Linked DNA regions of Struthio camelus. The protein of the gene in region 2 interacts with the protein of the main gene of each other region in a biochemical or structural test. Links are inferred from orthologs where the notes say so. Each region holds a gene or a part of one and is shown on either strand. Other genes may lie near its edges.

Evidence for each region.
Region 1: the proteins of BMPR1A (region 2) and BMP4 form a complex in vitro, tested with the Homo sapiens proteins (3 studies listed by BioGRID and IntAct, with this or other methods). The link is inferred for Struthio camelus from reciprocal best matches to the Homo sapiens genes BMPR1A and BMP4.
Region 3: the proteins of BMPR1A (region 2) and BMP7 form a complex in vitro, tested with the Homo sapiens proteins (2 studies listed by BioGRID). The link is inferred for Struthio camelus from reciprocal best matches to the Homo sapiens genes BMPR1A and BMP7.

Annotation. Positions count from the first base shown.
Region 1 is NC_090946.1:79,891,555-79,901,438, reverse strand, and holds the start of BMP4 (bone morphogenetic protein 4), read right to left. Parts: upstream 4,191-9,884; 5' UTR 4,154-4,190; coding exon 4,077-4,153; intron 1-4,076.
Region 2 is NC_090948.1:33,512,244-33,522,511, forward strand, and holds the start of BMPR1A (bone morphogenetic protein receptor type-1A), read right to left. Parts: upstream 4,440-10,268; 5' UTR 4,231-4,439; intron 3,632-4,230; exon of another isoform or gene 3,613-3,631; intron 1-3,612. UniProt on the Homo sapiens protein: On ligand binding, forms a receptor complex consisting of two type II and two type I transmembrane serine/threonine kinases.
Region 3 is NC_090959.1:12,812,088-12,821,891, forward strand, and holds the start of BMP7 (bone morphogenetic protein 7), read right to left. Parts: upstream 3,859-9,804; coding exon 3,339-3,858; intron 1-3,338. UniProt on the Homo sapiens protein: Growth factor of the TGF-beta superfamily that plays important role in various biological processes, including embryogenesis, hematopoiesis, neurogenesis and skeletal morphogenesis.

The DNA.
Region 1 (9,884 bases), on a different chromosome or scaffold from region 2:
CCCTTCTGCAAGCAAATAAGTCACAGAATCACAGAATCACAGCACGGTTAAGGTTGGAAGGGACCTCTGGAGATCATCTAGTCCAACACCGCTTAATCAAGCAGGGTCACCTAGAGCACATTGCCCGGGATCGTGTCCAGGCGGCTTTTGAATATCTCCAAGGAAGGAGACTCCACCACCTCTCTGGGCAACCTGCTCCAGGGCTCTGTCACCCTCACAGGAAAGAGGTTTTTCCTCAGGTTCAGACGAACCTTCCTGTGTTTCAGTTTCTGCCCGTTGCCTCTTGTCCTGTTGCTGGGCACCTGTGAGAAGAGTCTGGCCCCATCCTCCTGCCACCCTCCCTTCAGGTACTTCTACCCGTTGATGAGATCCCCCCTGAGCCTTCTCTTGCCCAGGCGGAAGAGGCCCAGCTCTCGCCTAGGAGAGATGCTCCAGTCCCTTCCTCATCTTTGTCGCCCTCCGCTGGACTCGCTCCAGTCTCTCCATGTCTCCCTTGTACAGGGGAGCCCAGAAGTGGACCCAGTAGTCCAGGTGAGGCCTCAGCAGGGCTGAGGAGAGGGGCAGGATCCCCTCCCTCCACCTGCTGGCAACGCTCTGCCTGATGCACCCCAGGAGACCATTGGCCTTCTGGGCCACGAGGGCACCTTGCTGGCTCGTGGTCACCTTGTCGTCCGCCAGGACTCCCAGGTCCTTCTCGGCAGAGCTGCTCTCCAGCAGGTCAGCCCCCAGACTGTCCTGGTGCGTGGGATTATTCCTGCCCAGGTGCAGGACCCTGCACTTGCCTTTGTCGAACTTCATGAGGTTCCTCTCCGCCCATCTCCCCAGCCTGTCCAGGTCCCTCTCAATGGCAGCACAGCCCTCTGGGGTATCAGCCACTCCTCCTAGTTTTGTACGGTCAGCAAACTTGCTGCGCAGAGAGTGCGCTCTGTCCCTTCGGTCAGGTCACTGAGGAATACATTGAAGAAGACTGGACCCAGTATTGATCCCTGGGGGGGACATCGCTAGCTACAGGCCTCCAACTAGACTTTGCGCCACTGACCACAACCCTCTGAGCTCTGTCATCCAGCCAGTTCTCAATCCACCTCACCGTCCTCTGCAGTGCTTCCCCACATGCACCCATGACTGATCACGTGCTGCCATATTTATTCCACATCTGACAAATGCAACCTAGCAAGTGGCAGGACCAAGCTCTTCACAGGAGAAGGCTCGGGAAAGCCTAGAGGCTCTGGCAATTGTTAATTGTCATATGTGTTTTTTCCTACACTTTTTTTTTTTAAATACAACTGAAAATAATTAATGGTTTCAAGACAAAGAGGAAAGAAATGATATTTTCCTGGACATAAATTATCACGGCCTCACAGGAGAGCTAAATAAACAAAATCTACCATGCACGGCTGTAGAAGTGAGTGCACCCAGGCTTGTCTGTGGGAGAAGCAAACAACACCGAGGTCTGTTTCTCCCAGAGCCCCTTCTCTCCCAGGGGCTGCTGTTTACACAGGGCATGTTCGCATAACTCAGCATTGCTCAGAAAGTGTGAGATTTGGCTGCATCAAGTTACTCACCTGTGCTGAGGCACAAGCATAAAGAAAGTGCAATTCTGCAAAGTTGCTAAGAGGAACAGATATTTAACTCTGCTATACAGATCTACTCTGCTATCGATTGCCAGTCAGCCCATCATCATGGAATACAGCCACCAGGGATAATTACTCATATAACTCATTTTCTTCCTAAAGAGCATGCATTTTACATTTCTCTATGTCTGAACAATTGCCCCATCCTCTGAGGAAAAGGGGTGTTACTGTTCTGCACTTCCGTCTGGCCACCATAAACTGCCTTGATCATCTCAAAGTGAATGATCCTGCGTGAGGTTTGCAACCCAGAGGAACCATAGCTCTGCTTTTCAAATTGCCCACTAGAGCACCTAACATCAGCATCACCACGGCTTCTCTGGCTTCTCCGTGTCGGGGCCCTGAGGGCACTAATGGGCCTTAATGGCCCTGACCAGCCTGACTTGGGGCCTCCCCCCACCTGTGCTCATGGGTCCAGGAGCACATTTAGCTCAGCTTGGGGTCTTCAGTCCCAGCCTGAGTTACGTCATCAGGGATCAAATCATTCTAAATAGAAGAGCGCCTACAATGCTCCTTATGCTGCTGAGCTGAGCACTGAAGCAGTCGTGATGCCCATAGTAGGCAGCTGGAAGAAGATGCTCAGATGATAGTGCTCAGGTCTAGGGATGTATCTCCCAGGAATGCCTTCTACAGCCACTTTCCCAGAAAGCTCTCTGTTTACAGAACACACATGAGAAACTGCTTCTTAGAACAATCCCATTTTGATAACTTTAGAAAGGCAATCAAAATTATAGAAAAACAATCACAGATGCAGTTTCCCAGACTTGCACATATACCATTCACAACTTGCTCTGACATTAGGCTTGAGTTTCTCAGAAGTAATCACCGATGTCCCAGGTTTCTATTTTTCATTGCTCAGTTTGGGGCCTGACTTTCAAAGAACAAAGAACTTCCTGAAAATCAGTTCCTGACATTATCGGCTAGTTGTTAATTAGGGATGCAGGTGCCTACACGAGGCATCCAATTTGAACATTTTTACTTCCCCACACTAAGCTATCGACTTCCTCCTCGCTAATCAGCTGCCTAATACAGAGAACTAACATGATAATCAGCCAGTAGTTAAAAGTAGTTCCCAAAATGAAAATAAAACTTAGGAAATGATTTTCCGGCAAGTGCAATGAAAGTACGCCTGCCTCTTATGCAGACGAGATTTATTTTATTTTTTCGTGGGCAAGATGAGTTCTGAAAGAGCAACTCTTACTAAAATCGCATTGGCATTTAAGTGACGTTTTGGCAAAACACCATGGAAACATTTGGTCACATCCTCTCAACCCTTAATTTCTTCCTTAAATGTGCTTTTTAATATGTCACAGTTGTTAAATTTGTAACAATAATTCCCTTGAGACTAAACAACAGTGCTTGGTATGTGAAAAATGAACAATACATTTACATCAGTAAACCAAGAGGAAATTTTAAATAAACGTCTAATTGAGCACAAATAGTCCAAATGTTACTTTTATGAAATTTGACCATTCTGTAGGCTGATTTTAGCAGCAGGATGTTCTAAATAAACTCAACTAAAACATATGCTGTCATACTCTTTTTCAGTTGTGACATAACTAACCAGATTCACTTCTGATTGCTTTATTGCTACTAGACAAACATTGCTGTACTGAAAGCCAAATAAGCAGCACTTAAATTAATTTGAAAACTTTCATTTTTAAAATGACCATCGAAATCCTAGGAACAAATCTGGTAAGGTAATTGGCACTTTCAGATTTTTTTGATTGGAGGGAAGAAGACTCAAGATTTGTATACAAAAAGACTCATATAAATTCCTGTTAAATCTAGTATGGAATTTGACTGCACAAACATTGGGTAAAATCAATGCCCTAGGAGCAAGGGGCTGGTCTGGGTAGGAACAACACAAAGCTGGTGTGTTCCCGGGTATAACAGCCTGCATACGTTCAGCAATCAACGCTTCTGTTCGTGCTGTCCCAACTTTACTAATACTGCATTATATAAATCTTCAGGACAAGTAATTAACAACTTTTTTATTTGTTGTGTAAAGCATTGAGGACATTGCAGGGTCCTGTGTAAATGCTAAAACTGCTATTAACCTGTGTATTTCTTAGCCAATATAAACAGCTTTCAGTATGCCTGCATCTCCCAACAGGGCTCAGGCCTGTAGTCTTGCTCATTTTAATGAGATTTCACCTTTCCTTACAGAGCGTTCAGTGTGTATTTTGGTGGCAGCAGCACCACTCAGAATAGGCTCTGATCCATTTGCTTTTTTCTTTACTTTTCTTTTAATAAAATCAACCCATTTTGGATTCTGGTTTCTAGGGCAGAAATCCCATAGTGCTTTTAGTCTTGAACATTTATTCAGACCTCCTTTTGGCTTCATTACAAGCCCAAACAGCAGTACAATTTAACAGACACATCACTGCACTGAGATTCAGAAGTTCAGTGATGAGCTTTGCTGCTAACCATTGCCACCTGCTTTACCTCTCAGTGCTCTTGCTCCTTTCCTGCTCTGTGCCCGCCTTCTCTATAGGCTGTAGGCTTCTCAATGCAAACACCATCTTCCTGGAGAAGGATCTCTTCTGGGACTCTCAAACATTCCTATTATAGAAAATAAGAACACAGAGATAGTCCTTCTCTTTCGGTTTTACTAATAAACACAGCTATTTCAGCCATGATGGATCAGATGGGCTCTCCACTTTTTTTATCTCCAATTACTTATCTGCTCACGTTCTTCCCTGCTGAACAGCATAAACCTTCCCTGCCTCCTTAACCTGCTGCTCTATATTATTGACCAAGACTACGTTCAGAGAATGTTACTACAGTTGCAAAGTCAATCATTCCAGACTTAGAAAACATGCAGATCAAGACTGCCTATGCCTTGAGTCCGTGGACTACAGGCAATGATGCACAAGCCTTCTCTCTACTCTCAGCCCACTTTTTTTCTCCATCAGCTTTAGGCATTCTCCACTACAGATGATACTTGATTCCTGAGCATCTATTCATTATTTTATTCTCCTTACTCTTTCACATGTTGTGAAGTTCTTCCAGCATAGCTGGCTTCATGTTGCACTTTCTAGATTTCTGAATAAGCACACTGAAAAAACAAAATATCCAGCACATTGATAACATACAGTTAATGAGCAGAGAAGTATTCTGTCACCTGCATACCTCATCCCTTTGAGCAAACAGAGCACTGACTCCCACAGCTGCTTGCCATCCTCTCTGCAGAACAGCAGTACAGGCTTGGAAAAGACATATTTCACTTTCAGAGGTCAGAGGAATTCAGATATATTTGCTGACAGTGATGGGATGGTGTGCCCCTGGCTCCAGGTTTCATTCCAGCTTGGAGACAAATGGCTGCTGTTGTCCCAAAGCCTGACTGGTTCAACATATCCTTTTCAAATTCATCTTGCTTGAGATCCACCTCTAGATTTCGTGCCAGCACTGGTCTCCTCCCAGGGTCATCTCTTTGAGGTCTCAATTTCACACCCAGTCTCACTTCTCTTCATAAAACTTTGTCTGCATTTTGCCTGGCCAGCTAGTCCCCACTCTATTTATATATCTCTCCCATAAACATTGGTTCTCTAGCCCTGCTTCCCCCTCTACATTCAACCTTCTCTACTTCCCTTCTCTGCCATGGACAACGCTTTCAGTCCAATGCATTCCTGCTTTTATTACCCTCATCCAGTTTCTTGTCTCCACCTCTTTGCGTCCTTTCTCAGCCAACAGGGTCCATCTTGTTACCCCTACCCAGACTCAGTTTCCTGTGGCTTTTTAGTCTCCACCTCTCCTGCTCACCCCACTGCCTCACACATAATCTTGGAAGACTGCTTGCTCCCATCTTCTCCTTCCCCCATCCTTTCTGCTATCTCTGGTCTTCTCTGAACAAGTCATAGATTCCTCCTCTACATTTTCTGACTTTTGATGTGGCAAGAAACAAGGGCATAGAAGGAATAAGCTCTAAAGCCAGCTTCCAGTTCCTTCCTAGAGCAGCCATCTCTACAGTCCTGCTCTCAGACCCCTTCAGGCACCATGGCGGGAGGCTGTGGCAACAGCCTGTGCAGCAGTAACATTTGGGGCAGGCTAACCCCTTGAGGATTTCAGCTAAATCTCCACTGATCACATATAAACTGAGAATTTTCAGTCTTGTGATTTGCCCAGGTGCAGGCAGATTTTCATTGGTACAGCAAAAATACCATGTCCTTGGAAGCAGCAGCACATATACACCATGAAGAAACGATGTAAAAAAAGCTTTTTGCATGTCAGTCTTCTGAATGAAATTCTTGTACTCAGTCACCAAAAGAGTATCTGCTGCTTCTGGACAGATGTTTTTAAGGCACTTGATTCATTAATTGCACTACACCTGATAAGTTTCTGGGACAGTACCAAAAATAACTGTATTCTCCACTCAGACATATTTTGGGTGGTGTCATATGACGATGCGGGGAAGGGAGACTATGCAGCCACATAGCCCTCAAAGCTCACAGTTCTCAGAGTTAAACTACAACAAATGTCAGTCAAAGTCCTTCTAGCTGAAGCTGGCAAAGTTATCAAGAGAGCTTCATACTACGATTCGTATAAACCCACCTAATTTTTGCTCACATCATCTCTGCTGGCCATGTACACCATGTCTTCGATTTATTTCTGTGAATGCAATAAAAGGCAGTATATCCTTCAAGCAAAGCAGCATTTTTCATGAGTGGAGGGCGACAAAGATGATTAGGGGACTGGAGCATCTCTCCTAGGAGGAAAGGCTGCGAGAGCTGGGCCTCTTCCACCTGGGCAAGAGAAGGCTCAGGGGGGAACTCATCAACGGGTAGAAGTACCTGAAGGGAGGGTGGCAGGAGGATGGGGCCAGACTCTTCTCACAGGTGCCCAGCAACAGGACAAGAGGCAACGGGCAGAAACTGAAACACAGGAAGTTCCATCTAAACCTGAGGAAAAACTTCTTTCCTGAGAGGGTGACAGAGCCCTGGAGCAGGTTGCCCAGAGAGGTTGTAGAGTCTCCTTCCTTGGAGATATGCAAAAGTCGCCTGGATGTGATCCTGGGAAATATGCTCTAGAGGACCCTGCTTGAACAGGGAGGTTGGACTAGATGATCTCCAGAGGTCCCTTCCAACCTAAACCATTCTGTCATTCTGTGATTTCCAATATTCCATAATTACATGACAGCTAATAGCCTAATCAGATTTTGCCTAATTTCCCCAGACAGAAATACACCAGCCCCTTTTCCTCACTTTACCTGTTCACAAGACAGTGGATAACATCTCTAGAAAATAATGCATCAAAAGAAATCCAGCTGCAAGAGCCCAGCCCAACAGCTATGCAGGTAGCAAATTCCCCCAGGAGTCAGTTAGACAATGCTAGTGCTCATTAAGGCTGGGTGGGACAGCAGAAATGGGAATACACATTTCCCTTCATTCATCAAACTGGAACAAGAATGAGGGTTCAGAAAAAAAACAAGCACTTTGCAGAGTCAATGACTGGGGACAAATCAGGAGAAAAAGAGACTTTGATCATTAAAACTGCAAAGAATGAAGCTTAAAAAAAAGTTGTTACATAAAGAGGATTCTTTAGTTACAAGAATGTTTGATCCGATTCACAGTTAAGGATGTGCACCCATTTTAAACGGAAAATCCTTTAGCTTTGGTATGAATTTATCTAGCCTGCCAGACAAATTGCTCATATCAAACTGTCATTTGGATGTTCAGCCATTGAAAACATAGTTAAAGCATGTCCCTTAATTAGAAATCCCATGGAAATGAAAACAATCCTCTCTGGCATCTCGTTCCCCTGGATGGTAACTTGGACTTATCATCTGGCACGGCCCCCTTCCTGTTTGCGTGGGTGGACCCAGGCAGACGTGGAATTCTGCTCCCCTTCCAGCCGCCCTAGGAGACAGGCAACTTCCCATGCCAAGGTTTTGTCTCCTGCAAGCGGCTCACTACAAACAGATCCAGTAGATGCAATGAGCTTCTCCAATTAGAGGTGCATGGTATAGTCGTCTGCTGCCCATTAGGGACCAAGAGAAGCTTAGCACAATATTGTAAAGGATAAACAGATTTTAAATCTGTTTCATTTTGCCAGATAGGAGTCTCTTTGATCAGACTGCACTCTTTTCCAGAAAATTGTAAGAGATAATCTTCAGTTATCTGCTAGTAAAAACAATAAAGCTCAGTCATTGCCTATTCCTATTGGGAGGACTAGGTAATTCGGCAGGATCAGTCTTTCTAGCTCTATTCATTTTATCACCGGTCTTGCATTATTAAATGTTTTGTTCAAAGCCTCATTTCCCAACAGCTTGTTATTATATAAGAATTCCAGGCTCATTAAAAATTAAAAAAGATCTCAAAACTTCACAGTTATGAAGACATTTTTAAAAGATTAATCCCAAAGTTTAAAAAGTAAAAGGTGCATTTTTAGCAGGGAAGAGAGTTAACCACTGGAATAAGCTGTTTTGGGATATGGTAAATTCTTTCTCATTTGAAGTCTGTAAGTCAAGATGGGATAACTTCCTCTTCTACCAGGTAGAGTCTGACATGTAAGCTTTTGACATGTAAGCAGGAATGACACAGTGAAATTCTCTGGCTCATGTTTCACTGATGAGATTAGAGAGGTACAATCACTCCTTGAGACCTTGAAGACTATTAACTGACTGGGAAGGGAACCCAAACTGTGCTGGTTTCATGCTGATGAAGACAAATTCATGAGCTTTGAGTGTTATGCTCCGGCAGTGTAGATACATTGCATTTGATTTGTTTGAAAACCCTCATCCTCATAGGGAGGCTCAGGAAGGCTGGGCTGGATGAGTGGACGGTGAGGTGGATTGAGAACTGGCTGGATGACAGAGCTCAGAGGGTTGTGGTCAGTGGCGCAAAGTCTAGTTGGAGGCCTGTAGCTAGTGATGTCCCCCCAGGGATCAGTACTGGGTCCAGTCTTCTTCAATGTATTCCTCAGTGACCTGACCGAAGGGACAGAGCGCACTCTCTGCGCAGCAAGTTTGCTGACCGTACAAAACTAGGAGGAGTGGCTGATACCCCAGAGGGCTGTGCTGCCATTGAGAGGGACCTGGACAGGCTGGAGAGGTGGGCGGAGAGGAACCTCATGAAGTTCGACAAAGGCAAGTGCAGGGTCCTGCACCTGGGCAGGAATAACCCCACGCACCAGGACAGGCTGGGGGTTGACCTGCTGGAGAGCAGCTCTGCCGAGAAGGACCTGGGAGTCCTGGCGGACGACAAGGTGACCACGAGCCAGCAAGGTGCCCTCGTGGCCCAGAAGGCCAATGGTCTCCTGGGGTGCATCAGGCAGAGCGTTGCCAGCAGGTGGAGGGAGGGGATCCTGCCCCTCTCCTCAGCCCTGCTGAGGCCTCACCTGGACTACTGGGTCCACTTCTGGGCTCCCCTGTACAAGGGAGACATGGAGAGACTGGAGCGAGTCCAGCGGAGGGCGACAAAGATGAGGAAGGGACTGGAGCATCTCTCCTAGGAGGAAAGGCTGCCAGAGCTGGGCCTCTTCCGCCTGGGCAAGAGAAGGCTCAGGGGGGATCTCATCAACGGGTAGAAGTACCTGAAGGGAGGGTGGCAGGAGGATGGGGCCAGACTCTTCTCACAGGTGCCCAGCAACAGGACAAGAGGCAACGGGCACAAACTGAAACACAGGAAGGTTCGTCTGAACCTGAGGAAAAACTTCTTTCCTGAGAGGGTGACAGAGCCCTGGAGCAGGTTGCCCAGAGAGGTGGTGGAGTCTCCTTCCTTGGAGATATTCAAAAGCCGCCAGGACACGATCCCAGGCAATGTGCTCTAGGTGACCCTGCTAGGGGGGATAGACTAGATGATCTCCAGAGGTCCCTTCCAACCTCAACCGTGCTGTGATTCTATGAAAACTAGCTTTTTTTACAGTCCTTGTTTACAGGAGGCCTGGGACGTTGCTCACTTGTAGGAGAGAGGTTCACTTTTGTCAGCCAGCACAGCCTGGTTGATTTAAGCAGAACTCTATCAGTTTTCCACCAAATGGAGGACTAGCAATTTCTCCCCTGCTTCAGGAATAAGCCCAGAAACGGTTACCAGAATCGAGCATGTTTGCTAGAAAATCTCATCCCTCAGAATTCCCAGTTTTTCTGTAGGCGGCAGAACAGTTTCCCAGCGGCTTGGCAGGAGTTTCCTCTTATCCCACAAAGGGTCTAAGGAGACTGCAGAAGTGACATTATCTTGTCCTACATAGACTCCACATAGGCGGGATCAGGAATATGAAGACAGAAGGAGAATGAGGGGAATCTTCCCTCTGTCAATC
Region 2 (10,268 bases):
AATATTTATTAACCATACTATTGTAAAACAGTAAAGTTGAATGAGACCCATAGGACTCAAATTAAGTAGAAGGGCAACTACAGGACACCTATTATGAAACTGGCAAAGAAGAAAATTGTGTTATAAATCCAAAAGATTTGACCGTAACAGTTGTGCAAAACCAGAACAATGGGGTCATAATCAGAAACTCATGCATCTTATCACTACAATAACATAAAGTTCTCAGTCTTCTCAATATACCAAAAATACCATGGTCTAAAATATTTTAGTCATAAACCTATCACAACACACTTCAGTATATGCTGGTCTTTTAGATTTTCACGACTTATTAGGATACTCCACCTCGTGCAACAGTTGGACTAGGAGGTGGCTGTAACCTACTGCCTTATCAGTCAGGACATAGTCCCTCACAGAAAGGAAAGGAAACTAAAATTTACCCTCCTTGCAGAAGGATGACATTCTCTACTGAAAATAAGCACAGTAATTTTTAGTTTTGTTTTCTTGGGGCTGGAAAGCTGGCAACTTGTTCCCTAGTCTATTTCCTGGTCAGTGTTAGGCCAATTATTTGCTTGTACCCTATACACTAAAGCTTTTGACAATTAGATATCTAGAGTAAAGAACATTAAACATATTTTTCTCACTGAATCCCTCACAAAATAATTTTGTCTACCTTTTTATTAAGAGCATTTAGAACGTTAAAGCAGCACTTTCTTTACAATGAGAATAAACTAAGTGACGATTCAAGCTCTTTGCCTTATTTCAAGGATCACCTATTCCCGTCTCTGTATTATTTTTAAAGGGTTGCAGTATAGCAGGTAACATCTTACATTTGTTTTCAGTTAGACACATTTTTCAGAATACGCAAAACTATTCTAATTTTGTCTGAGAATATCAATCACTCCCCAGACTTAATTGTAACCTTTAAGCAACTGCAAGAAAAACAGGCAAAAGGAAATTCTTTGCTTTCCCTTTAAAGCATTAAACACTGTACAAAACACACGATAACTCAATGACATCACCATGACTAGGGATAATCAGAAAAAGTTTGGTAGAGTAACCGCAGAAGAAACAGAGTGAAGATTCTGCCAAAGACGTTATCTAACAAAAACAACTGAACCACTAAATTTCCATCAGCTAAAGGAAAAGTTTGCTGTCAGGTAGACATGCACACAGACATATAGGCACTCAGCCTCCCTCTCCCCCCACCCCCAACACTATACTCTGCAGGTTAGGAATGTTAACAAGTGAAACAAGCTGCAAGAACTGCACCAGTGTCCAAATATTCCAACTCTGAAGTGATATACCTTTAAATTATTGAGCTCCTTCTGTCATTTGTTTGCAGAAGACAGTAAGGTGGGTGAAGTAAGACCCCAGCACTGAAGATATGCCTCCTGTTTATTGAGGAGCCAAGAAATATCAAGCGCTTTCCCAGATAGCCAAGATAGAAAGGGCAGATCTTCAGCTGACCCTTTACACAAGCACAGAAGAAACATACACATTTTGAATGTGCTCCGCACCCCACACGCACTATCTTGTCTCATTTATCCATCTACACCTTTCAACACCCTGCCAAAGAAGTTGCTATGCTCAGCCATCATCTGCTACTGGAAACAGATATTGTCCTCATCAGAAAAGTTACCAGCCACAAAGACAAACAAGGCAGGCAGGCTCCCACCTCCCTTTTTGATTTGTTTTGTTTTCAAGGTCTTTGGAGAGGCAGGGTTTGTTTCTCTTAGAAAGTCTGGATATATCAAAAGTCATGCAAGCGCTAGTATCTCTTCTTTGACCCCTTCTATGAGGGCACCTATTGAATTCCTCTTATCTGCTGTAACATATTCGCGCTTCACAATGCCTTAGAAAGCTGCAGAAGTTCTTCATTATATTGAATGATTTAAGAGAGATTTCCTCGATTCAGAGTGGTTTAACATCACTGTTTTCACACTACTTTTTTTCTTCTAAAATATGAAGATAACTTACACTAATCCGTCGTTATAAAAATAGTGAATATTTAGCAAATCCTTCCCTATATTTTTATTAATCTTTATATAATTGCATAATCTATATCTTGCTTCTTGGAGAAGCATAAGAACATACTTCCTAACTTAAAAAAAAAACAAACAAAAAAACCCCACAACACTAAGCAATCCATCAAGTGCTAGCCTTTCAGCACTCCAGGAAGTAGACAAAGCTATCTATTACTTCTTCAAAATCCTTTTTGTTTTTATTGGCATAATACTCCAGTAAAGCTCATCTATGGCAAACACTTGTCCATTTTAAAAGAAATTATCAGACCTAGTTTATGGCACATCCAAAAAGGCACAATATTTAATACCAAATGTGGTCAACATTTTATTTTCTCAAACTTGGATACTGCTATTAAAATCCACATCTAAAAAATACTTAAATAAGGGAGTAGTTCAATAACTACAGGAAGTACCAGAAAGAATAAAGTTAATTATTTTAGTTATGCTACCTACATTTTAGACTCCTGATTCCTAAATGTTGGAAGCCAGAAAGCAGTAGGTACATTGCTTACACACTCTACCATATTGAGTATTTTTAATTCTCCTAACAAAGCACACAATTCTCACTGTAAGGATTTTGAAAAGCAGCGTCAAAAACATTAGGAGTTAGTTTCTCTACAATGACTTCAAGAAATCGTGGCAGCTCTAACTGCAAAATATTCCGTTAAGCACAACTTTTAATGAGTAAAATCCAAGTTACACGGAGTAGGGGCTGGATCACATAACATCGAGAGGTCCCGTCCAACCTAAATTACTTCATGTTTTTAGAAAGAAGGATGCAGCTCCAGCCACATATATTCCCTGTCAAGGGAACTGAGGAGCCCATAGGACATACTTAAGTCTGGCTGCTGAACCTTACCTCTACGCGAGAGGATCCTCAACAAAAAATCTTAGACTAAAACTCAAAGCCCACTGTGGCGTATGCATGTGCACCTATATGTAAATATATATGAAACACAGACATGCACTTACATAACAAAATTAAATCTACTGAATAATTTAAGAAAAGGTTACAAAAGGAACATAAGTACAGTAACAAGAGACAAATACACTGCCAACAATTTACAAATGCCACAACACGGAGATTTTTTTTTGCATGCAGACTGCAATGTCATCTGACTATAAATTACTCTCACGCAATGTTTTATCCAGTACTAGTTTCTACTACAAATCAGGCAACTTTCTTGAAACAGATGACTTTCCTCTTATCTGCAAAAGCAGTTTCTTCATCCCTACAGATAACAGACTCTGAGCAATTGCAACGAAGCTACCTGGATGAAGAATTCACTAAATATTTACCTGTCCACAGAGAATGAAAAGAGTCAGACAGGCAGTCAATCCACACTGGAAAGAATCACCCTACAACCTCAGCACAAAACGACAGGTGACTGCTCCACGGAAACACACTTTAATGCCATTCTTTGCCGCCGAATTCACTTTCTTTCACAAAACTAAAGGGCCGTAGGGAGCCATGCAAGTTTTTAACCGTCTTCCCTAGGTTTTGCAATCAGTTACAGGAAGACACCGAACACCGCAACTCAACAGCACAGCCTTCGGCTGTTCCGTAAGACCTCTACCGTCAACGTACCAAGTAAAACTTCTAAGGTAGGCCCAGCGACTAGCGCTCTTTGCGGGAAGAGTTTTGTTCCTTATTTCGTATAACCCGACAGCAACAGGCCGACCGAGGCGGCGCGTAACTTGGCTCCAAGCGCGCACGAACGGCGGACGACGCTTCTTACTGCGCGCGCCCCTGGCTGAGGCGAGCGGGGCCTCTCTTGCCGGCCGGGGCCGGGGCCGGGGCCGGCCCCCGCCCGCGCCCACCCCGCCGCGGGGGCAGCCGGCCGCCGAAACGCGGCCGAGGGGCGCCGTGCCCGGCGCCAGCGCAGCGCCTCGCCGCGCCACCCTCGGCCTCGGCCGCGGCCCAGCGCCGGCGCGGAGGGCGGCGGGGCCGGCGCAGCGCCCCCAGCGCCGCGGCGGGGCAGGGCGGCGGGTGGGGGGACCCGCGGCCTGCGCGGCGCCCGGCGGCCCGCACCGGCGGGCGCAGAGGGGCGGAAAGCCGCCGGGCAGCGGCGCGGGGCGGCGGGGGCAGCCAGCCCCGACGGCGCCCGCTCCCCTCCGCCGGGCCAGGGCAAGGCGTCCCGCGACGGCCCGACATGCCCGCCTCTCCGCGGCGGCAACGCAGGCGCGGCGCGGCCCCCGCACTCACCCGCGTCGGGGGCTCCTCATCCTCCTCGGCGGCGAGCGAAGGCGGAGGGGGAGGGGGCCCGCGCCCCGCTTCGCTCCGCTCCGCAGGCCGTTCCCGCGGCCTCGGCGGCTCCGGGCGGACGGGGAAGGCGGGGTGTGCGGGGGGAGGCGGGGGGTGGGAGGGCCGGCGGGCCGGGGCACGGCGCAGGCTCCGTCCCTCACGGCGCTCCCGGCGCGGCGCGGCGCGGCCCGTCCCTGCGGAGCGGGGTGGGGCGGGGCCCCGGCCGCATTCCAATCACTGCAGCCGCGGCCGCGCGCACCAACGGCCGCTGCCGGGCTGCCTCGCGCGCGGCGGCCGTTGGCGCGGGGCGGCGCCCCCTCTTCCCCCCCCACCTCGCGCGAGCGGCGGCCGTTGGCGCGGGGCGGCGCCCCCCTCCCCCCCGCGCGACCAGCGGCCGTTGGCGCGGCCTCCCCCCCCCCCCGCTCCCGCCCCCTGCAGCGGCTGCCGCCTCCGCCCTTCATCAAGGCGGGCGGTAGGCGGGAGGGCTGGCGGGGCCCCCCGGAAAGAAAGTGGGCCGGGAGGAACGAGCCGGGCCTGCTTTTCCTCCCGCGTGGTCCCTGCCCTCCCCGGGCGGCCGCGCAGGCCTTGGCCGCTGCCTCCCCCCGCCCAGCGCGGCGGCGGAGCCCCGGGCGAGGCGGAGAGGCGGGTGCCCGGCGTGGCTTTGCCAGGCGAGAGGGCGCAGGAGCTCCTCCAGGAGACGCTAGCCAGGTGCGAGGGCGAAGAGTGGCCAAGCAGGCGTCGTGGGGGCTGAGCTGCGCCGAGGTGGGGTGAGGGGGGCGCGGCAGAGGGCCGGAAAGCTGGGCCAGGGAGCTGGTGGGGCCGGTGCCCCGGAGGACGGATGGCTGGCAGGGCGCGCAGAGCAGGGGGTGTGGAGGAGTGTTTTAGCGGCCCTGCCTGACGTGGCGTAAGGGGACCACGGTGTGAGCGGGAGTGGGCAACGAGGAGGCAATTGCCGCCCCACTGTAGGGGAAGAATGAGGGCCCTGAAGGGGCCTTTTAGTTATGCGGAAAGATAGTTTAAGTTCTGGAAAGGCTGGCGTGCCAGGGCCAGGAGAGGGGTAGTGCCACCGCAATGGACGAAATTGTTGGTTTGCTTTTTCCCCTTCCTGTATCTCTAAAGATTAGCCCAGATAGTTAGGCTGGGATAGAGTATAACTTCTGCAGTGAGCTGCTTTGCTCATTGGTAAGTGTGCTAAAGGCCATGATTTGCATTGGCTTTCCAAGCTCCTCGTCATTAGGGCAAATTAGCAAAGTCGTAACTTGTCTGTCTGTCTTCAAGTGGTGTCTCCCAACAGCAGTGCAGAAGGGGCTTTGATGATGGTATGCCATATGACAAGGAGTCCCCACAGTTCCCACGTGGGCTGCTGTTTTCAATCATTTACTCAACAAAATTACAGCGGTTGTTTTGTTGACATGGTCTTGCCTTTAATACCATATCGATTGGACCCTCTGCATCAAGAACTTTGCACGTAAAGCCAACGGTAGGGGGCAAATAAGATCATACAGCTCATACAAACCTACTCACTTTCCTGTTGCAAGTAGACCAAAACACCCTTTAGGACACATCAGCAATTGCCATTGTGAAGAGGTCTGCCCAGATAAACCATTTCTAGAGAGTAACCATTGAGAAACAATCTCACTTATGAGTGGCAAATAGCCACATGTACATATCGTGTGGGAAACAACGGCTTGCTTACTGTGTTGTCCTCTCCACAGTCTAGCTCCGTTTTTGCATGCTAGTATCAGATAGGATTCATAAATGTCATGTACTCCACTTTAGAGTTACCACTTCAGGATGTAAAATGAGAGCACTGGCTCTGCAAGAACAGTTCATATGCATTAGACTCATGGATTGCTAGGCAAGCGCTTAGCCTGCATACTATCCCATATAGCAAAACAAAAGAGGAAGTATAATTTCAAACCTGTCAACTTTGCAGGCTCCTTTAAAATGCAACCAAGTAAAGGCACACCTCGTAAGGTGCAGGCGGCCAGATACTACAGTCTTAGGCATTTAAAAATACAGGTCTTGTCTTACTAAACTTCTAGAAAAAAATTTTCCGATGACCCTCATCCAGAAAAATTTGTCAGTGTCCAAAACAAAGACAGTCTGCAAGAAAGACAAAATCACAGCTTTCATGCCAAGCAATACAGAACTTGTATGCTTATGTTTATAATTTCAAAGGAAAATATGAGTCTGCTGTTCCTCCACTCTGTCTGCTATCAGATTATAGCAACAGAATAGACACTCAATATGGAAGAAGAATGCGACATGCATGTGAGCTCCCAACCAGAGCTAAAACTGCTAGAGCTAGCATCTCTTTAAATAATAATCTATGTGGTAATACAATCCCGTGCTTTTCAGATGTTGGGTATTGATTTAAATCCAGTATGCCTGAATTTAGCAAAAGCCACTAACCTTGAAATTTGTCTGATTCCTCGTGTGAAATGGATCGATTGTTTCATCCAGTTCTTGATGAGTAAATTAGTAAGTCACAGGAACTGCCTTCTCAACTAGTACTTTTTAAGGCACTCGTACTTAAGATGCCTCAAGCAATAGTCAGGCCGGAAATAATGTTGCTTAGGATGTGGTTTCAAATTCATACAGGTGTAAAGTATTTTTTGAAACATACGATTTACAACAAAAGTATAAGAGCAATGTGGGCAGAATAAAATTCCTTTTTTACGATCATACAGTGGTGTGTGTGTGAGAGGGGGACTGCTGAGCAGCCCAGCCATAACGTGTGATGCTGGACGTGATGGAAGTGTTTTTCTTTATATAGTGCCTGAAGAACCCAATTGTACACCCCCTAATGAATCGAACTGCGAAAATTTAACCTAAGATTTTTGTCAAGTAAAACATGAAGAATCAAACCTTATTTTGTTTTATTTTATGGGGTAGGTAGAGATATCTGTTTAAACCAGAAGATGAGCACTTCAGCTGATAGGTGGTCAGAAAGACACAAAGGGTCTCAGCAAGCTTGTTATCAGTAACAGACAATTCACTTGGTCAAGATTGGTCAAATCTGCAAAAACTTGGACGCGTCGGTTTTTGGTAACATGAGGTACTTATTTTGTAAGTAGAGAAGCACTCAAAGACACTGAAGTAAAGTCTGAAGATAAACATATGTTCATTCAACACTTGGACAGGAAGGGATGTGGAAGGCTAGCGAGAAATATAGGAGTGGTAGTTCAAGACTGACTGTCATGATGAAGAGAGCTGTATTAAAAAGAAATTAAATAAGTCATGAATTGGATAGTCTTCCAGCTGCTTTCTTTGTCATTTCCTCTCCAGGAATTTCTTATTAGGTCTTGGAATCACTTGGGACATGCAAGTCTTAAATATCAAAAGCTCTTTAAGAACAAAGAGGTATGTATAGGGAGAAGGTCATCCATGTGATAGGGCTTTCATCTTGGTATATCCTTCTTCCTTTCAGTCTCTGGAATTCATATGTCTAAAATCCACAGTACAGTGTATAAGCCAAATATATTTTTGAAAATATATTTGCAATTAGATGAGTGCTTTTCTGGTACTGTTACTAAAATAAATATTCCATGTTAAATATTAAAAGACTATTGCCCTTCAGCCAGGGACATAATTTTTTCACTTAACATGATGTGAATTTGGCTTAGTCTTTTTTTCAGAATTATTTTACTTGAAAGCACGTTCTTTTGATTATAAATCCATTCAGCTGTCTGTTACTTAGGAATGGCACAGATTTTATTAAATGTGTTAAATGTAAGCATAATGAATTCAATAAGCCAGTTTCAAATCTGTGAGGAAAGGTGTTTTTAAAAAACTTCTGCTGTTGAAGCACTGATAGTAAAAAGGCAAAAAAGCATTAATTCATTAGCATTGCAAGCCCTGGCCAGTCTTCAGTCCAACAAGTGCGATGTGGAACTGAGCATGGTACAGAACTGGAAAACAGCGTAGGAGACTCCAATGTGCAGAACAGGCAGGAGGAAACAGGAAACTGTTCCCACAGCTTAAATACTTGGTGCATTTTGGGGTTACTTCATGGTTTCTGCAGACAGATTCTTCTCAGCCTTGTTCAAGCGGACAGTGAGGAGGAAGGACGTAACAGCTCCATTTGTCATTACCTTAGGCAGCTGGTGCAGGATGGGAGCTGAATTCTTACTGAGCGGCATTGTAGGGAACTCGATTGCATCTTTCAAAGGACTGTAGTAATGGGAACGCTTTCCCTGATTTCACAAGTACTCTAGGAAACGTTTTGCCAGTCAAGAACCAAATTTCCTGTTGCTTTCCCTGTTTCTTCTTTCTGTGCCTAGCTGAGGTGTTTGTTTCTGGTTTTATGGACTTCTAGGTACAAAAAGCATATTCCAGCTTTTCACCAAGCCATAACAAACCCCAAAACAGCCATCCTTGTAAATTCAAAAAGCACTTCAAATAATTTTTTTTTTAATCTAATATTGGTTAGTAAAAACATTAAAAGTCTTACACAGAAAAGAAGAAAATACTATGGACAGAGAGTTTACTTGGGTGCTTCTCTCACGTCGATTTGTTTGGAGTTCAGAGAATTAGTAATATGTTTTTCCCTAGATGCATGCAAACAAAAACCATAAGGTCTTCATTTGCTCTGAGAAGATTAAGTATTTAGACTCTAGTGCTGATTTTAAAGGTGATATTCCTAGTTAACTATCACTCTGCACTGCAGAAGATCGACAAAGAAGTTTTAATTATTAGCTTTCCCTGAGAATATTTGTACTACACTAAGATAAATTTATCTGTTCCTCCAACTCTTATAATAAGAGGTATTTGTTCGTTTCTTTTACAAGTTTGAGTAATTCTTGGATCCAGAAGCCCATCGTGTTAACATTTCATTTATTGATGCTGAGGTCTTCAACCCCTTCAAGCCTTTATACCAGAAAATTCACTTCTGGATGACTCTCCTTTTCAGCAGCAGAAGTTGAACCGATGCTGAAAAAAGAAATTGGTTTTTAGTCCTACTGTTAAACAAGCAGAACTATTTTCAGCATAGAATGGTCTGTCTTGATAGCTGTGTCCTTAGAAGAGAGGGATTCAGGCAGATGTTTTGCTAGCAGCTATGGTGGGTAGTGTCGAGATTTACAAAGATGGATATATACAAGACAGAAAATGCAATGTTCTTCCAGTCTTGTTAGAAACAGATCTGAATCCTATACAAATGAACCAAATAGTTTTTAACCAATCAAGCTCTAAATTTTTTTCTCATTGCGAACACATCCTTAACCACAAATGCAACACTGTTAAATAAGAATAAATGCAGCAAAATACTCTTGACTCTCCTTCTCTTTTTTCCTATCTTAGCACAAGCAAAATAATATAGGTCTACTAAATTAATTAAAAAAAAAAAGGAGATCATGCTTATATTTCAGACACAGCAGTCAGCTAGTATGTCTGAAAACATGTGATGAAGTTAAAAGCATAGAAATACAGCTTTTCTCCCTTGGTCTTGAAGATACTTGAATGTATATTGGAACTGGAATTGGAGCAAGTTAAAAAAAACACATGCCAAAAAAAAGGGCAAATCCTGACAAATAGTCTGTAACTTCCCTTGCTTTTAAAGAGACACCCTGTATCTGCAACTCTCCAGATTTGGCAACTGTATGTAATTCAGTCTAAACTCCCACTGACATCAGCAAAAAATTGCCTGTTAAGAGATGCAGGACTGAATCTAAGATAATAGCATATTAAAATTCCATTACAAATTCAAAAGCTACTAATGGAAATTAAATCCCCCAAATATAAAACATTCAATGCAATTGAAGAGTTTTCATTGTACATACTCAAAATGTTAAACAATAGTAGCACTTGCATGTGTGACCATCAGGAAACACAGCTGTGCTTCTTTCTGTTACAATTAATTACTTCCGTTGTATATAAAATTGAAAGTATTGGTACTCTGGTGCGGAAAAAGGATATCCTGATACACTGCTCCTATTTCCGTACCAAGGCCTATTACTGAACCTTTCGCCATTAATTCATTTACAATGAATTATCCT
Region 3 (9,804 bases), on a different chromosome or scaffold from region 2:
TGGAAATTAAACATGTGCAGAAAATGCTTTGTATTTTTTCAGTTAAGTTCTTGAAATGGATCAGTTTGTAAACTTTATTTGCACACGATCCGGAATGAAATTCCAACTAATTAAATTATAGTAATAAATTTTGTAAGATTAGTCAGTAATTAACTGGCCAACTTAGTCAGACCACTGTGGCCAAATTCTCTTTTAATACATATGTAACTTCATTCTTGACACAAATCCATTTCCCATCCATCTTAACACAGGTGTAAGTTAAGACAAAACGTAGCCTGTGAATTAAGTGGTTATAAATCTAAACCTAATTAATTGTCAAGATTTTACAGTAACGTTACATGCCAAGTTCAAAGCTCCCTCCAACATAACCGTGAAATGGAGCACCTGTATTCCGGTTCCTCCCTACCAATACCCAGTGTAACTTCTTTGGATTAAATATGCAGACCATCTCCATAGAAATCAGTGAGGTGGTTTGTTCTTATTTTTTATTTATTTTCACTATGTGGGCTCTTATTTACTTCGGTGTAAATCTTTAATTTTTCTAGCTTTCTCTGAAGTTGTATGACCAGATAGATGACGAACTAGGAATAAAGCAAAAAAAGTGTACTGCTAGATTAGTATTTGGAAGCCTGGATTAACACAACTTGTTTATTGAAATTTAAAGGTATTATTTCTTTACTCACTTTTACTTCCTCCATTACTAAGAGGAAACTTCTTTATTACGCTATGACACTTCCTCATTGTGATGGCTCTAGTACAGTAATAAAAGCCTACCTGTGAAACGCAATGCTCACAGGGTATCTCTTACAAAACTAGGACACAGTTTACTATAGTCTGCCTTTAGCAATTCAGCTCTGGCTTAAAAGGGATCATTGTAGAAAGTCTCCAAAAAAATAGCAGTTATACAATAGATCTTCTAATTTTCCCTGAACGTCATAGAAAACTGTACATATCAAAGCAGGTGTTGTGTTTGACTATATACGTGAGTGAGTGGCTGGTCTAATTCATTAAAACGTCCATAAACAAGCCTGTCTTTGTCCTATAAAGATGAAAGACCGATGACTATAATGGGATGAAAGGTGTGCACGGTGATGAAGAAAGCTAGTGTAGATCTATGTCCTTTTTAAACTCGTCCTGGCATGCACTGTTGACAAGGGAACAAAACAGTACAGATAAACCTCTGAAACGTGCCTTGCTGGTAATTTTTCCACCTGTCTTTCTAAAAACCATTGGATTTTTCCTGCCCTCTTACTACTCGCTGGCCACGCTGACAGCAATTAGATAAAAGGATATACTTCGACTACATATAGTTTATATGAAAGCTGCTTTATAAAAAAGTTTTCACTTGTAAGTAGATACATCCGCAATGTAATTTCTGTTTTCTAGTTTACTGATCAGTCCCACTCTGATCACAAAACGTTTGTATTCAAAAGCATTTGGGACCTGAACACTAAGCCCTTTTATTCCTTTTCCATGGGCTGCAAAGACGGCCTTTCCTTGCATAGGAAGCAGGGGGCTGGAGTGCTGGAGTGTACTGATGAAAAGTTATGCAGCAAAGAGCTACAAACAACAGGAGTACAACAGCTTCCCTAAGGATAAACTTCATTAGTCGCTTATATTTTTCCTAAAGGTTCCACTTTACCAAAAGGAAAACAGAGTCTGAGTTTTGCTATAGTTATTTCAACATCCTTTGTCATGTGAGCGACTCTCCCTGCACTTTGGTTGCACATTGTGTAGCACCCAAGTGCCACAGCGAACAATGTTAGCAAGATCACTCCTATCTCTCAAGTCAAATATTTGACCACCAGTGGTACTTTTGGCTGCTCAAATATTTGATTTTAAATGTATCATTGCTGATCGGCTTAAGTATCTAGCAGTGATTAGACAAACACTATAATTCTAAATGGAAAGTATTAGCGCAGCCCCAAGGCCAAACGTAATTCATAGATGCCTGCTGTGAAGCTTACGGTGTTTAATAAGAAGGTGCAGCTCATGCAAACTAGAGCTCTAGCACAGTGTCCCAGGTCCCAGCATCATGCAAGAATTGTGCTGGGATGGCCCCCGTATTTAATAGTTATTAATGTGTGTCACGGAGCTTATACAGCTACCGGTATTTTGCAGTTAGTTAAGTGCTGGGATTAGAGAGGCGGTGATTTAATTTTTGTCGCCACTGAAGCTGCAGAGAGTCGAGGTGTGCAGAACAGTGGCATCCCTAAAGGTGTTAATGGATTTGCTGATGCTGAGGGTCTCTGCAGTCGCTAGCCTGTTACGTGCCGGAGGTGCGTTCCTCTTGCTCTTTGTGTGTCCCTTTGTCTGGGCAAAAGTTTTGAGTCGACCTTGTTTTGAAAATACTATACAAATTTTGCCTTGAACTTGCAGGCACCCAATCTGTACATTTGGTGGTTTCAGGGCTGCACATGACGAGCTCTAAAAATGGACAGAGTGAAGCAGGGTCTGTAATTTTATATTTAAAATAGAATGTTCATCCTGACAACGTTTTCCCTAAATCCAGCCAAGTTAGCCCAAACGGGTGTGCAATCTACAGCGGGCAAAGAGAAATCAGATTGGGCCATGGCACCCAATTAGAGAGGCCTAGCGAGCCACATACACAGCACGCCAGCTTTTGCATTAGTTGCATAAACCCAGCCACATGTGCTTGTGAAAAGAGGCGAGTTAGCTGCCTAAACTGGGGTGACCAGCAAGAGCGGCAGGAGTAACGAGGGATTTACTCGGGAATCCCTCTCGAGCTGTTAAGACAACATCCGCCTGCAGCTTTGGCCCGTGCAACCTAGCGAGCACCGTGCTCTCCGTGCCGCGGGAACTACCCACCGCGGCAGCCCTGGCGGTGTTGGCATCACCCGCGCGGGCGCGAGCCTGGCACCGCGAGCTGTGCCCCGGCCCGCGGTCCTGCCTGGTGCTCTGTCCTCCTCGGTGGCTCAGGATGTGGCACAGACCTGCCAGTTTTCCTGTTCAGCTCATACCTGCAAATCCGATCTCTGAGGCGCTGCAAATAACTACCGAAAGGGGGAAGGTGACAAAGAACGGAGCGTGTCGGCGTGCGGGGTGGAGCGCGGCACGCGCTCGTGGCTGTCCAAGTGCGGTGACAGAAAGACAGACCCTCCCCACCTTGCTGCCGGTTAACTCGCACCGAGCAAAGCAGCTGCCTTCCCAAGGGCCAAAACTTGCCCTTCCTCGCCCTCAGCGCTGGCTGCCACCCGCCTGGCACCGCCATCCCCCTTGGAGATGGCTGCCCCGGGGACACCTGTGCCACCAGACCCCCGGGGCTCCGCTGCAGCCTCCCGGCCCCGGCCCAGCTCCCGCTGCCCCTGGGCACTCACCCAGGTTGACGAAGCTCATGACCATGTCAGCCTCGGTGAGGAAGTTGCTGTCCTGCAGGCTGGCCAGCGGCGGCCCCTGGGTGCTGAAGATGGGCTTGTAGGGGTAGGAGAAGCCCTCTCCGTCCTCGGCGGCGGCCCCCGCCGCCCCCTCCTCCACCGACATGGCATTGTAGAGGTCCAGCATGAACATGGGGGCCGAGTTGTGCTTGCCGTGGAGGTGGGGCCGCGGGCGGTGCGGCAGGCCGAGGATGGAGAGGATCTCCCGCTGCATCTCGCGGCGCTCGGGGCCGCGCAGCCGCCGGTGGATGAAGCTGGAGTGCACCTCGTTGTCCAAGGTGAAGTCGGCCAGGACGCAGCGCAGCCAGAGGGCGGGGGCGGCGGCGCCCAGCACCAGGAGCCAGGAGGCGGGCTGCCCGCGCCCCGCCGCCGGCATCGCGGCCGGGCGGCGGCGGCGGCGGCAGCAGCGCAGGGGCGGCGCGGGGGGCGCGGGGCTGCCCCGCCGCGGGCAGCCCCCCACCATGCGCGGCGGCCCCGGCGGCGGCGCCGCGCTCACTGCGGGCGCCGGCAGCCCCCGCGGCGGCGGCGCCGCTGCCCGCTCATGGCCCGGCGGCGGCGAGCGCGGCCGCGGGGCGGCCCGCGCGGCGCGGGGGGCGGCGGGCGCGGCGCTCTGCCCGGGCGCCCCGCACGCCGCGGCCCCGCCGAGCGCCCGCTGCGGCCCCGCGGCCGGCGGCGGCAGCAGGGTGGCTCCGGTGGGAGGAGCGGGGCTGCGCAGCCCCGAGCCGCTGGGGAAGGACGGGAAAGGCGCGCTGCTGCCCGGAGGAGGAACCTCTGATCAGGTTGCCTCGCAGGATGTTTGTGGCGGCTGCCGGCGCGGGGGAGAGAGAGGGTGAGCCGTGCCCCCGCGGCGAAGTCAGCGCGCACGTCATTAAGGAGACGACACCCCAGCAGGGAGGGTGGTTCGTCTGCAAGGAAGGGGCCCCAATCCTGAAATAGTTTAGGCATGTAAGTGTATCGTGTCCCGGCGCAGACAGGCGCACGCAGGCATGTTTCTTCCCTCCCTCTCCCCCCCCCCCGGTTTTTTTTTTTTAAGTACACTCATTTGGGGACAGTCTGTCCAGGACAAGAGCAACAACACCGGATTGTTTAAAACACGATGATTACATGTACACTCACATAGGCATGCGTGTGTGTGTGCGAAGAGCCCCAGGTCACTTTTTCCAGCTGGCAGCGAGGAGAGTTAGTGGAAAAGTGTTGGAGAAACCCGGGGCGGGGGCAGTTGTCGGTTTACAGTTCTAAAAGCAGCAACCCGTACGGGATTGGGAACCCTGAACCTGTGCACACGGGAGCCGTATGGCATGCCGTTGTCATTCTCTCTCACCTTCCCCTCTTCTTCCACTTTCTGCTATGCCCCTTTGTGGCACATTGTCTTGAATTGGATTATCAACTTTTTTAAAGCAGTGATTTTTTTTTTTTGAACTCGCTGCCTGTATAATGTCTAGAACAAAGGAGTCCTGCTCCTCATTAGTCCAGGTAGATGTCTACTGCCGCAGTAAATAGCAGGAGTAATCTCAGAGAGCAAATGTAGATTACTGCTTCCCAAACGTCACTTGGAAAGAGAGGGGAACGCTGGGTGGGAGAGATTATCTGGGGCACTGAATCCAGCCCGAGATAATTGCAGGAACCATGTAAATACAGTAAGTTTATGCTAACATTAAGATTCATTCCATAGGGAAGGGGAGGGAAGGAGGTCGGTGTTGTTTCTTTGGTAGATTATTCATCTGATGTTTTCAGATGAGCAGTATCCAGTAGTATCCAGCACCTGATCCTGCATATGTTCTGGAAACTAATGTTTAGCACTTTTTTAGCTCTTCATGTTTAAAATCCTTGTGTAAATGGCAGGTAGGTTAAAAGAGCTGCATGGGAAACACATCGAGTGATTTTATTTGTGTGTGTGTGTGCACCTCTTAATTACAGGGAAACTGAGGCATAGCATTGAATGACTCATGTAGGTACTGAAGAAGTGGTGGAATCAGCATTAAACTTCTAACTCAGTCCTAAGGCACATTTAAGAATGGATCAAGCTCTGGGGGGATGGGGAGGATGGAGGTTGTGCAGGCACATCCACGTCAGGCAGCACAAGGACGCTTGCAAAGCTCCCCGGTGCTCATGGGGGTGGGGGATAAAGCCCACCCCTGTGGCAGCCTTCCCGTTTCTCCCCACGGCAATGCCTGAGTAGTTGCATTTTGGATGCTCAATTAAGATCACACTCTGACATCTTTTGTACTTCCTGAGAAGCAGCACCAACCTGCTCTTAAAGAGGGAGGCATTTGCCTAAATTTCTCTTGCCTTGGGTGTGGTTGCGTGATCAATTTAAGCCGATCTAAATCCAGGCTACTCCTAGAAAAGACGTTTTTCCTCCTGCCACCCTAACCTGCACCTTCAGCTGCATGCTGCTTCCCCTCTCTATGCTGATACTAGCACTTATATCCACACACAAGTCAGGAAGTTGAGTCTGTTTTAAAGTATATACATACATTTTTATCCATTCCTGTGTTGTGTTTGCTGCATTAGTTTTCTGCTGGATCAGCTCCTTGATCTGACTGACTACAGGAGGGATTGAGCTGGAGCAAGGGAGGCCGCAGGAATGGGCAGCGAGGGGCAAGGAGAGGGTGCCCGGGCTGGGCTGCCTTAGCTTGGCGTACCCTGGCCACGGGACGGCAAGCAAGGGATTCAGCATCCCTCCGCGCTCCCTTTCAGCTGCCCATAACCTCATTTCATTTCTTCTTTGTTCCTTGGGGGCCATTAGTTTTTCTCAAGTTCTGAGTTTTGGTCTTTCATCAAGCAGGAGGGGAAGGAGAATTGGTTTGATCGTGGACAGTGAGGTTAAAAAGTCCTTAAGGCTGGCACGGTGGACTCTAGAGCAGGTGTACCAGCTGCCCGAATTTTATGCACCTGAATTGCCTGTAGCTCACATTTTCAAACTGACTAAATTTCAGGTCAGTGTAATCCTTTTAAATGACAGCACTCTTGGAGGAAAAGTAAAGAAAAATATCACTTGGGAGGGCTGGATCCTCATGTAGGTAACTGAATGTTGTAGCTGTATGCATCACTGAAGAAACAGCAGAAGAAAAGCAAACCTTGAAACTTCTTTGACATATTTTTCAAAAAGGTCTTGTTTGAATCTGTTTCCTTTTTGTTTGGTTTGGTTAAGTGGTCTGGTTTTGGCCAACATTAGAAACTTACTGATTTAATAGAGGATTTCTTTCAAGAAGGGAGAATACTGAAACTGCATGCCGTGCGTTCATAGGAATAGTTGAGGGAGTTTTTTCTGTTCTAGCCGTATTTTCTGTGGTTCTGTTTTTCAGTCCTTAACATTTTTTGTGGTTGTAACAGGTACACCCTTAGATAAATGGATCATGGTTTGCAGCAGGGGTACTCCCTGCATGTGTTCTTAAAACATGGTGTACCAAAAACACTGTCAATAAATGTGAGATGAGAAAGGGAATCTGTTAAGGAATCATTTTTTTGGATGTCAGGTTCATGGCTATTCACTGCAGCTCGCTTTGGGGCACAACAAAGAGCAGCATTTATTCTGCTCCGTACAATAAGGGATGCTGCTGCTCACACTGCAGTGGTTCAACGCTCAGATCTGAGAGATCTGAGCTTGAATTTCAAATACCTTCCAAGCCAACTGGATTGTCCTTTTTTTTTTTTTTTTAATAGGCAGCTACTTTTTCTTCCCTCCTTTCCTGCGTGCTACTTAAACCGGGTCCTGCTTCCCAGAGGGTCAGCTCCACACAGGCTGCCGACAGGTTACTGAAATACTGGCACCTACATGTCATCATCCTCTTTTTCCTCCTCCTTCCTGGATCAATTAAGAAACCAGTTTTTCCTCTTACTCTTCTCTGCTTCTCTGGTCTCTTCTTCTCTTCTTGAGCAGGAAAACCAAATGCCTGTGATGAAGTAATCCCTGTTTGTTGGCACTTGCTGCTTCAGATAATTTCTATAAAAACAAACTCCCAATGGAAGTGCTTCCCTTGAGGTTCTGCGCAAGCCACGTTACCAATTGAGCAACTTTTGATCTCTTTGAGCTTTGCGTGTCTGCTCTTATCTGATTTTTGTACCAACTACTGCCATTGTTTTTGCCTGTGTCGAAATCCATATGCTTGAAAGCACGTATTTTGGAAATGAAGGTTGCAGTTTTTAAACATGAAATGCACAAAATGTGCAGGCATGTGCGCTTGCTGAATTTGTATGTGCTGTTACCATCATCGTGTACCCATATTAGACAATATACCGGGGCAGAATTTGGCCATTTGCATTCAGATTTACCATATGGGCAGTAGAAATCCTAGGTTCTGCTTACAAACTCATGTCATGATTGTTTTTAAAAATCAGATATGAAACATTTTTTCCCCTTTTTTGTTGAATCATTTTCAAGCTTCTTGTCTTCCTGCTTTGATGTTTTCTTTTTAACTTTTAACCATGTTTTTTTTCCATTCTGCTTTGCATCTTCTCTCATTTGTCTTGAACAAATTCCCCCTCCAGAATTATAGCAAACTTTTCTCTTCTTCCAAATATTCATACTAAAATAGCAAGTTTTCTGATTTTTCACTGTTCTTCTGGGCTCTGCACACGCAAAACACTTATATAACAAAAATAGTAGCATTATTATTTGTATAAGAATGCATAATCAGCTTGCCTATTTTATTACATCATATTGGATTACCTTTATCAAAAGTTTCTGTTCATCTCTTCAGCATTATTACTGAGAACAGATTCATCAACATGAAAGTAATCACATTATGGATAAGCCATTATATTAACTCTAATCCAAGAATTTGAACAGATCTGGGCTAGGCTGTGCTGGGTTGGACTGTGCTGATTAAGTTATAAATTTGAAGTATTGATTCTTGTTGCTACTAATCAGAGGAGAGACAGAAATTGAATGGGCTTCTAGGTATGAAATAGTGCTATAACTTCTGGAGATGCTAGTAATAACTAAAAATAATAAATCATCTTTGGCTTTATGATTTGGGACTATAGTGCGGAATCTAAGGTTCAACAAGTACATAAGGTGAGCCAAGCTGAGGCCTTAACTTACAAAGCTAGATCTCCAGGGGGATTTTTTAGTTCTTATTATTTACTCCAGACAACATTAGAACCAAGCTCATATCATTGAAACATATGTGGTTTTGATATTGGGCAAAATTCATTATTATACACACCTTATATACAGTATGAATATAAGCATATGTTATATATGTATGTTTTTACATAACTGTGTGGTGGTATGAGTGTGTGTGTGTATGCGTACAGCAGTATACTCCAGTAATATATGTATATTTTAAGCTTATATGAGTAACGTATTTCTGTGGACTATATGTGTATATATATGGATATTGTTTAACACAGAACCACTTTTAGGTCCATGTATTGCCAAAGCAGCACAAACAAAATTCAGTCTTAATTTTGCGCGATTAAATTTTTCTATACGTGTTTGATTTGGTTGAGGCTTTTGGCACAAGCCCAGCATTTGCCTTCATAGGTAATGATGTAATCTGAATATGTGAAACCTTAGGCATATATTTGTGGAAAAGTATGTGGGGAACACAGTTATGGGTCGTATTGTTAGGAGAAGACTTAAGGCATCCTGGAAATGCGGCTCTGAAAGTCTGCTTAGCTGTAATGTTTTCTTAAAATAAACAGCAATCTTTCCTTCTACACTCCATCATCAGACTATCAGGATTCTTTTTATTAACTTATATTTATGTCTTCTGGAATATTTTTTAGTTCTCTGCTGTTTGTATTCACTGAAGGTAAAGACAATATCTTTTTTTTACGTTGATATGTATGAAAAGCACATAAAACCTATCCATTGTTTTCAAAGCGAACAATAATAACTGGTTCTGACCTGCAAAATTAAATGGCACAAATTTGGATAGTTTTGCTTTCTCTCTCCAGGCAGGTGCAGAGTAATACCTCAAAAGAACCATTATTTTCTGCCTTTATTCCAATGTGTACATAAATGCTTGCATAACCCGCGCACAGCTGCTGTACAAACTGCTCATGCCACAAGTATTAGTAATCCTAGCAGGGGAGGTTGCATGGAAAATTGGGGTGTGTATGCTGAACCATATGTACCATGCCCCTGAATCATAAAACTTCTGGTGCTGGAGCAGAGCGATCTTTGGAGACTGTGGATTTTACAGGTCTGTAGGAAAGCAGGATTATATACAACAGCTGCACCCCGCAGCTTCACTCCTGTTGAGGCTTATCTTACTTCTGCATATAAATAAGCAGGAAGCAGAATTTGGTCCGACACTATCTTCCTGCAGTCTCAGCTTCTACTTTTATTTATATTTCATTTCCATAGGAACAATTATTTAAATAGTTTATTTTGAATGCAAATGTGGGCTACTCAAACTGGAAGTAAGTTCTGGGCTGCCAATTTTGAGCTGCTTGG